Saccharomyces cerevisiae S288C: one gene and its partners. The gene in region 2 interacts genetically with the main gene of each other region. Each region holds a gene or a part of one and is shown on either strand. Other genes may lie near its edges. The genes, in order: CNM1, SKA1 and NTF2.

Region 1 (3,692 bases), on a different chromosome or scaffold from region 2:
AATGTGCATCACCCTCACCACTGGTGTTACCAAAGTTTTGAAATAGACCTTGCAGTTGGGATCTGACCTGTCTTCTCTGCTCCTCCTGTGAAGTTCCTCCTACTTCTTGGTAATCCCTTGAGTTTTGTTGTATTCCATGTTCCTCTAATCTAATGATGAGTGCAGATTAAAATTCGGTTAGTTAATTGGCTTTGGGGAACTTACTTCATAATATATCATTACATACCTTCATATGTAGACATTTTTTTGATTGTGATTATGTTTGATGAATATATCTTTCTATTATTTCTTTAGTAGTTTAGGAGTGGCAAAACTGGTATTATAACGAACTGAGCGCTCCTCGGTGCAAACAAAAGCCGCCCACAACAATTTTGACCAACTTAGGCAAAATGAAGCCATTACTAGAAAACGAAGAGTATATATCATCACAGTAATTCGGGTAGGAGAGTTGGTCACCAAAATGGGACTCATATGGAAGGCAAAAATTTCGAGCTTATTCATCATGGTTGTACCCGTAAAGTTTTTGTTTCCGATATATAGAGTACAGATGTTTTCTAGTTAACAGTTGGCATATCTTACATTTTCCGGATTATGTATCAAATAAACTTTATCTATGAATAGTTAGAGTACCACAGTAGAATCGAAGTTGCGCCTTTATCATTAACTAACAATTTTTTTGTGGGAACCGAACTATTATGTCTCCTGGAACAAATCTTTTGACTTTTAACCCGGAGCAAATTGCGAATCCTTGTCAAATTTTGAACTTCATCATAGCGGATAAGATCCTTATGAATCACTTCATCTAATCGCTCTCGTTTTTCTCGGTATGCTCCAGTTATTTCAATTGGGATGTTGTTATCAAAGAAAACTGGTTTTTCCATGAACATAGTCAGGAAAAGTTCGTCACCAAATTGGCTTTTTATAATCAAAAACGATTTACAGATATCACGAATTTCTCTACTCACAGATTTAGTATTATCTCGAGCAGTGAAGCTTCTCATAATTGAAATATTTCCAGGCGCGTATTGTCTGCCATAATGGGAGAGAGATACATCGCATCCCATAGGAACTTTAACCATTGTTTCGTTAATACTTTTTTCAATACCTTTAAACGGCGTTTCATTCGCGCTATCAAGTAATGTATTATTTACCACTGCTTTAAACTCGGGATTCGAGCCAGGTGATCGCGTTAAGACCTCTGTTGTATAATCTTTAGTTAATAAGTCGTACTCATCAAAATTGCCATAGGTGAAATTTTCATCGCTTTGGTTCAAAGTTACCATATTTTGCCTACCAATGCTGAGAACTGACTCCTTTGAATGTAAAACTGTGGATTCCTCATAATTTCTCTCTTCGGTAACGTCACTTCGATTATTGAGGCAGTCTTCATTAAAGTTTATTACAATGGATATGGTATCACCAGTCTTGAACCTACAATCATCTATTTTAGGTGAGCTCGTAGGCATTATTGGAAAAGTGTTCTTTCTCTTAATAGAAGAGATTAAATACCCGATAATCACACCCAAAATTATTGTGGATGCCCAGATATCTTCTTGGTCATTGTTTTTTTTCGCTTCAATCTGTAATCTCTCTGCAAAATTTCGGGAGCCAATAGTGACAACATCGTCAATAATAAGTTTGATGGAATCGGAAAAAGATCTTAAAAATGTAAATGAGTATTTCCAAATAATGGCCAAAATGCTCTTTATATTGGAAAATAAAATAGTTGTTTCGCTCTTCGTAGTATTTAACATTTCCGTTCTTATCATTGTAAAGTCTGAGCCATATTCATATGGAAAAGTGCTTTTTAAACCTAGTTCCTCCATATTTTAGTTTTTTATCGATATTGGAAAAAAAAGAGCTATCAGAAATCAGTCAATATATCATGTACCTATGGAACCTTATCTTTCTCAAAATAATAAATTATAGTGATACTTTTAGAATTGTGTCACTTTCTTTTTATTTGTACTTACAAAATTCGGCCGAGTTATCATCTCGGTAACCGAGAGGAAGAGCCCGAGCAGCTAAAAGCGACAAACCGTACAGATAAAATGTTCGTGCTAATCCAAACTGCAGCATTCCGTATAAATTTGTCAGATATACTGATCAACTTAGATAAAGTTCCCCACTCAACCTGCTTTTGTTTATTACTTGCAAGGTAGATGGATGGTCGAAATTGATCAAACAGTTCGTTTCTTCAACCCATGATTTTTCTTACGTTTCATCTATATTGTTAACTTGTTAGCGCGAGGTTTCGATTTCTTTGATCTGTCCTTATGAACTTTTTTTGATGTCTTTTTCTTGTCATTCTTTGCGTTATCTGTGCTTTTTGTAGGAAAAGAAAGCCCTAGCTCCAACTGAATAAGCTTATTCAAACTTAAACTAAGTTTTATATTTTCTGCAGTGTTGGTTCCGAATGACGCAGCTGAAAAGCCAGACGACCACGGAATGATAAAGATTCTAAAACGGTCAATAAGTAAAACTCCTCTCTTTAGGCCCTTTGGTGTGACAAGTGTCTCACTTATTTTACTGACAAACCGCTCCCCCAATTCACTAGATTGAAATCTTAGGCCACCACACTTCGCCTTGTGGTTGACTATTAATGACAATGAATTTCCATCCTTCCATTTCTTTATACCCAATAATTGCGAAACTGTATCAGTTATTTTCCATTCAGGGATCGAGGCATCAATATTATACAGAAAAAATGATTTGGTGGAGGGGTTTTTTAAAAACGATTCATTCAAGGGTAGTTTCTTCAAAATATGAGAAATGTCCACGGACGCGTACTTTTCCAAGTTTTTGACCTCATTTGCACCTTTTTCATTTTTATACAATGCAGTTGTGTTTTTTATTAACGGAGTACTTGGGCCATCTGATGTTGCTCGCAGAAGTATATTTTTCAATTTATCAACGATATTATCTGCTTCTGACGGATCACTCGTAATCTGAGCTCCTCCTAATTTCACGTTTTTTAGTGACAGAAACCTTTTCATCATGTCGTTTTTTGCTTCCTCCGTCATAACGTTTTCCTCGTTCACAAGGGATATTAAATGATCCCGCAGTTGTATAGGGATGTGCCATCTTGAATCAAGCATACAGCATTGACAAATGTTTCTCTGAGTGGCGCACCGTACACATATTAATGTTTTAATGATATTATTGCTTCGTTTAGACGTCTTAAAATGGTATAAGGTGAACGGTAAGGTACAAATCTTACATTCAGAGCCTTGTGGAATTTTAGTCATTCGTATATTAGCCTCATCACCTAAGCACTGCTCACATATATTGGGCGGTGGCTCATTAATTTCATCATTCATTATATTAAGGGTGCAATAACTCTTTTCCGTTAGCTACCTTCTATTCACCTGCTCAAAAGCCCTTCCATCATCATTACCACTTCTATCAATAAAATTTGCCATAGCATTTCTTTTTTTTTTTTTTAGTCCTTATTGCCTAAACGTCATCACAGGAGAGGGTAATCCCGGAATGAATAAGGTTTGAAACTTCACGTCCCTCCGGGTTGTGACTTAAAAAAATTACGAAAGAGAACCGACTATCGTTCCTGCTATTGTTCTTGGTGAGTATTACTAACCCGCTTAGTTTTATTACTATTTATCAGTCTTTTATTTGTACGTTATTTGAATATTTAAATGTTTTTGGCTGAGCTCACTCACATCAACTGCTAGCCT
Region 2 (3,495 bases):
TGATGGCTGTTCAGGTGCATATAGGTGATACTGTAGAAGACTGTGAGGAGGCGGATAAATACGTGGGTACTTAAGATTACTACTCTCTATGGGTGGCGGTTGCATAGGAGGTGGCACATTATTAGCCATACTCATATTGTTACTATTATCATCAGTGGCGTTTATATTTATGCCACCAGAATTTGCAATGGAGGGAAATGGAAAAGAATGTGCATTTGCATTAGTGTGAATTGAGGAGGTTGAAGACGGAGTGAAAATGGGGGCATTGAAGGGGTCGTAATTGGAACTCGAAGCGGTAGTTGGTATTGATATGCTTATATTACTATTATTGTTATTGTTATTCACTAACGAGCTATTAACTATCGGATTAATCATCGGATTAACTGTAGAAGCAGTAGCAGAGGTAGCTGCCATGGCGATATTGCCAGTAGCATTTGTAGCAGCGGAGGTGGTATTCGTCACAGTGGTTAAGGAGTCACTACCGACTGTCATCGGAGTGAAACTTGCGGATACTTTAGCATTGAACTTAGGAACTGATGTCATGGTCGGAGTTGTAGCCTCACCCACATCTATTGGAGGAGGAACGTCATTTATGGTAGTAGCGGTAGTGTTATCGCTGTGTTTGAAAGGGCAACCTTCTTTCTCCTTTTTGCAGTAGCCATAAATAGTGATATTTCTGCACGGAATATCCTTCGCCCAATCAGGATTGATTTTGTCCATGGCGTAAGATACGTCTGACTAGTCTTTTAGGCTTACCTATCATCGAAACAGTGCTCCCGCCATTGTTATTATTGCTCTTTTAATTCATAAACCAAATAATTTAGCAGTTTATTTTAAGGTTACCCTGTAAAGGTCTGATATGTAGGGGAGGGCATATAATCATTTTAATATATATGTATATATTCTTACATATATATATAATATCGCCGTAACTTATAGCGTAAACTATATAAAATACGTCTTAGTCTATAAGCTATCACGGATAGCGTCTTGGACGTCTTTGTACACATCTTCGACGGATCTGTCGCAACGAACACGGACGACTTTCGATTTGGTTTCAAAGTACTCGATGACGGGCATACTAGTCTCCTTGAAAGTGTTAAATCTCTTCTTAATGGACTCAATGTTGTCATCGCTTCTACCACTGGTCTTGCCACGCTCCAATAGTCTCTCTAACATGATATCTTCAGGGCAGTCAAAGAACAGGATGAATTTGCTTTCAACGATGTCTCTTTCAAAGGAAATGGCTTGATCCATCTTCCTAGGAAATCCGTCAATTAAGAACTTATGCTTGTTCGCCTTGACGTTATCGGAAATAGCGTTGCGTAAAAGCGCCAAAGTAATCTCTTGAGGGACAATCTGGCCCTCTTTGATGCAGTTCTTGATCAATTCCCCATATTGGGAACCTGCTCTGCCCTGCTCAGCACGTAGAAGGTCTCCGGCTGACAAATGGACAAATGAATAGTCCTTAACTAGTTTTTCACACTGAGTACCCTTGCCTGCACCGGGTCCTCCTAGAACGAAGATCACGGAAACTTGGTCAGGCGAGAAAGCTGGCTGTGATGTAGTGGCAGCTGTCATTTGTCTTATTCAAGAAATTCAACTGGTTCGTTCTTTTGATAGTTTACCGAAATAACTGATGTCACGAGTGCTAAAGTTCCTACGAGTACCAACAATTTGCCTTTGTGTTTACCCTTGCTTTGACTTTTGTTAGCGCGTGGTACGTTTACGTTGGTCTTCGAAGGTGCTGTATTGTGGAAAGTTGGTTTTTTCGAAGAATAAAATCTCAGTATAAACCTGTAGCGTGGATTCATAATATAACTAAGCTAACATAAAAACGGGAGAGGGTGTGTGCGACTAAAGGCAAAGACAGGAATGCATCGCTTTAAAAGATCACCATAACTACTTAAAAGTTTCGTTAACGTGGTGAAAAAGAAAAGAAAAAGAAAAGTGAAAAAAATAAACCTAGGGTTGAAAATATAATCAGTTAGGTGTCATGATATTGATACATTTATTTCTATAGGTCTGAGAGTACTAACTTAGGGTATATGAGGGGTGTTAAGTTGGGATGATGACGCATTAATTAAGAGTTCATTATATGAGGATATTGTATACAATGCAAGAATAGCGCCCCAATCCCGGCCAGGTATAACGTGCAAGCATGAATAAAGAAGAATTATTGGGTTTTCTACTAGATGACAGTATTGATAGCCAAAAAAGATGCGTCACGGATCAGCAGGCCTACTCTAATTGGTTAAAGAATGATAATGATGAACGTACGGCCCATGAGGAAAGCTCTTCACAAAGTACGATAGCCGCATTGAATAAGAAGAAGCAGACAGAAGCTGCTCAAGAAGATATAGAAGAACTGTTAAACGGCTTAGAAGGCATTATTGGAGGAGCCGACCCCCGTAATCTCAAGAGTAAGTCAAAGAGGAAAACCAAAAAGGGCGGATCGAAACCAAGGGAAGAAAACGTGAATACGGAGAAACATATTGTAATGCTCGAGGTAGAAGATTTTAGTGATATGAGCACCCACGAAGATGTCAACGGAGCAAGTCCGTCGCCAAATCTGGACCGGTCGAAGAAGAATGAGAAGCGAAGGAAAAACGCCAAGGAGCTGTCATACGATGAACTAAAAGACAAACTAGAAGTTACCACTCGCAAATCACGTCTTGAGTGCAAAGACTTGAAAAAGAAAGTTCATGGGCTCGAAAGAAGGAACCTTGAACTTGAACAGCGTTTAGAAGAGCTGAAGATTGAGAACCAGACTTTGATAGAGATTAACAATAAACTGTTGAAAAACACTAATGAGGATGAGATTAACAAGAGCCAGAGGAACAAGGAGAAGGACCGAAAGCGGAGGGAAAGAAGAACGGCAAGGAGAAAAGATGAAAGAAAGCAGGAAAAAAAGCAGGAAAAAAAGCAGGATAATAAAACATCTCAATCTTTTCCTTCCTCAACTGACATGAATGGACAGCCTATAGAATTTTGAATGCATTCTAATGACATAACTATTTGACGACGTGAATTAGAAACACATACTTTTACGTGTGGCTGCCTCTAAGAATTAAACTTCTTTTCTTTTTATTCTTATTTTCTTTAATGAATATATACGCTATACTTGTACTAAGTCGTGTCTTTATTCCTCGCCCGCCTTCGTACTTTATTCCAGTTCCATATCTGCGTCAAAATCATCGTCGGCATTATTACTTCCAGTTTTGCTGTCATGACCTCCCTTTCTTAGAGCTTTGTTATTCTGATCAAAGATCTCCTTTTGTGTTCTCAACCTTTTAGCCATGTTGACAGGGTCATAAGTCAATGAAGATCTTTTTTTATTGAGCGAAGCCTTGTCCTTACTTGCCTGACTCATTAAATTCGACTTGTCAATAAGTGGGTGGCTGGCATCCAATGATAACGTCACGTTTAGCTCTAGGGCATTTTTCAAAAGCGCTGTTGCAGATGAATTATTAGGCTTTAGGTACAATGATTTGT
Region 3 (2,806 bases), on a different chromosome or scaffold from region 2:
TGGTTTCTGTTTCTTCCGCCAAAACTGCGTTTAAGTCCTCCAAAAGGTTATCAACCTTACCATTTATTTCTTGAGTATAACTTTCATTGTCTACTTTGTTTCTTTTACTTTTTTCTTCCTCCTCCTTTTTAGCAAGCGCTTCTTGCTCTTCTTTTTTTAATCTCTCAGCTGTTTCTTGTTCTCTTTGTTTTCTCTGTATTTCCAATAGTTCTCTCTCTTTTTTTAGGCGTTGCTCTTCTTCGAATTGCCGTTGACGTTTCAACTCCATTTGCTTTTTAGCCTCCAGTTCCATTTGACGTTTTCGTTCCTCTTCTTCGAGTTGTCGTTGGTGTTCCAATTCCATTTGCCTTTTCCTCTCCTCCTGCTTTATTCTTCTTTCCTCTTCTAATCTTTTCATCTCATTTTCCTTTTGTAACTGAAGTCTTTTTTGCTCTTCTAATCGTCTCAGTTCAGCCTCTTCTTGTTGCTGTTGTTGCTCTAACTCGTATCTTTTATTCACTTCATTCAATGTCGAATTGGAAGAATAGGGGGCCTTATTTAGAGATTTCATTCCTGCATGATATTCCACGCTTGCAGGCGTTGACACTGGATTAACGCTTTCTGTTTCAGACCTTCTTGTCCTCTCAGTAGGTGCTGAAAAGGGGACAGAGCCCACCGATTGGGTAGTGTTTGTCGTGAAATTACTTGTAGGTGACTTTATTGGAGATACGGAACCGGGGCGATTTGTGATGACTGCTCTTTGATAACTCCTCTCGTCAAGATAAAAAAGGGATAAATCCCAATTGACCAATTCAGGGACATGACCTTCGAATGTTTGAATGTATAGAGTAATTAGAGATTTAATGAAAACAGTTCTTTCCTTCGCAGAATTCGTTTCCCAGTAGTATTTTTTACTCATGGTAAGAATGAAGCCTTCAGATATCTCCAGGTCCTTCTCTACTCTTACTAGTTCGGTCAACTGCCAAGTTCTACCAATTTGAAAAGAGCCGTCTGAGTTTTCTCTTGCTTTATGAATTTGTATTAGCTTGGCATTGTTGGGCTTGGCACTCAAAATAAGGAGTCTTTTCTTTTTGTTCTCCAATTTTGAATCTGGAGGAGGTCTTGAACTAGGGAATTTTGAATCTTCTATAATCCGGACATGTGTAATATAATTATTCGGCGGTTCACCTGTCTTATGGTCGGGTCTGGAAAAGCAGCAATTAATTATGGCTTTCCTATCCCTTTCATATTGTTCGGCTAAAAAATTCGAAGTTTGAGAGGAATTTGAAGCTCTCGACACGTTTCTCTTATGCGAATAATTTCCACCAGAAACAGGTGGTGCGGAAGAGGGTACTGCACCTTGACTGACGTTTCTAGAATGGTGAGCACTGCTACCGGATATTGTTCTCTTGTGGAAAAACGATGTGTTTTCATCGTGTGATGTCTCACGACTGTGAGACTTCCTTTTAAAAGGAGACTTCGAGGACCTCATAATATAGAATAAATTGCGTAGCCTTGTTACCTAGCTGGAGATATCTGGCACCGACTCAGTCTTTATGACCGCTTTTTCTTCATAAGCTATGATACTGTTATTGCTATAAGTGTTCACCAAGTTAGTATTTGCCCATTAATACCGGGTGACATAGTCCCACAAGCGTGGTTCTCAAAAAGCAACGAAAAATTTTCTGACTTGGCAAGGTGAGACTTAGGCTGATAAGTAAGTACTTTTTAGTTTTTAGTGTACAATACCCCCTAAGGAACCCAGGTTTTAATACTATTATCTTTATAATGTCTCTCGACTTTAACACTTTGGCCCAAAACTTCACCCAGTTTTACTATAATCAATTTGATACCGATAGAAGCCAATTGGGTAACTTGTACAGAAATGAATCTATGCTAACATTCGAGACTAGTCAATTGCAAGGTGCAAAGGACATTGTTGAGAAATTAGTATCTTTGCCATTTCAAAAGGTCCAACATCGTATCACTACTTTGGATGCGCAACCTGCTTCCCCAAATGGCGATGTCTTAGTCATGATCACTGGTGATCTGTTGATTGACGAAGAACAAAATCCACAGCGTTTCTCTCAAGTGTTCCATTTGATTCCTGATGGAAACTCTTACTACGTGTTTAACGATATCTTCCGTTTGAATTACTCTGCTTAAGGATTTTTTAAGTCACCACAGAAACATGTATTTTCATTTTCGAATATTGTTTAGCATAATTGAAGATGCTTAGCTAACGATGTATAAGGCGATAGCGATAAAGAAGATATATATATATATATATGTATGAAGATAGCGTTTTTAAATGTATTTCTTTAATACTGATCTTCGATCATTTTGAGCTTGTTTGGCGGGAATACCATTCTTAATATCTTCAGAGACAAGTAAATCCACTTCAATTGACTTTTCGATATAGGTAACTAATTTTGAAATGTCAGTCTCTTGAACAGGAATGCGTACTATTCCATTATTGTCACCTGCAATATAATCACCAGGACATATTGTTTGGGTTACGCCATCACTCGTTAAGATTTTCAACTGTACGTTAGTGCCTACGGCTTTAACGACAGCCTTTGGAGCGCAAGATCCAACACCGTAAGCAAAAACGGGATGGTTTAAAGTCCGGTGTTCATCCACATCTCTTATGCGTCCAAAGACTACTGTCCCATTCGATTTCAAATATTGTGCTCTGGTACTCATCAGCCCCCCGTACATCGCTTGCGTAATTTTAATAAATGGGTGGAACTGACTTTGCAAATGGGGCTCCAGTGCGAGGACGAGTATTGAGTTGGGAGGGACAGAGTCTATATAGTTCACGGCA

Evidence for each region.
Region 1: of SKA1 (region 2) and CNM1, changing one suppresses a phenotype caused by changing the other (phenotypic suppression), as found in Saccharomyces cerevisiae (one large-scale study listed by BioGRID).
Region 3: mutations in SKA1 (region 2) and NTF2 together harm fitness more than expected from each alone (negative genetic interaction), as found in Saccharomyces cerevisiae (one large-scale study listed by BioGRID).

Annotation. Positions count from the first base shown.
Region 1 is NC_001134.8:366,359-370,050, forward strand, and holds CNM1 (Cnm1p), read right to left. Parts: upstream 1,827-3,692; coding exon 612-1,826; downstream 1-611. Other genes in the region: YBR062C (uncharacterized protein), read right to left, coding at 1-144, 227-242; Pre-mRNA-splicing factor ECM2, read right to left, coding at 2,226-3,320; NRG2 (Nrg2p), read right to left, coding at 3,679-3,692.
Region 2 is NC_001143.9:391,560-395,054, forward strand, and holds SKA1 (Ska1p), read left to right. Parts: upstream 1-2,161; coding exon 2,162-2,995; downstream 2,996-3,495. Other genes in the region: PAN-complex poly(A)-binding subunit PAN3, read right to left, coding at 1-720; URA6 (bifunctional uridylate/adenylate kinase), read right to left, coding at 967-1,581; MIN9 (Min9p), read right to left, coding at 1,587-1,814; anaphase promoting complex subunit CDC16, read right to left, coding at 3,167-3,495.
Region 3 is NC_001137.3:170,348-173,153, forward strand, and holds NTF2 (Ran GTPase-binding protein NTF2), read left to right. Parts: upstream 1-1,767; coding exon 1,768-2,145; downstream 2,146-2,806. Other genes in the region: GTP-Rho binding exocyst subunit SEC3, read right to left, coding at 1-1,471; YER010C (bifunctional 4-hydroxy-4-methyl-2-oxoglutarate aldolase/oxaloacetate decarboxylase), read right to left, coding at 2,287-2,806. UniProt on the Saccharomyces cerevisiae protein: Facilitates protein transport into the nucleus. Interacts with various nucleoporins and with Ran-GDP. Could be part of a multicomponent system of cytosolic factors that assemble at the pore complex during nuclear import.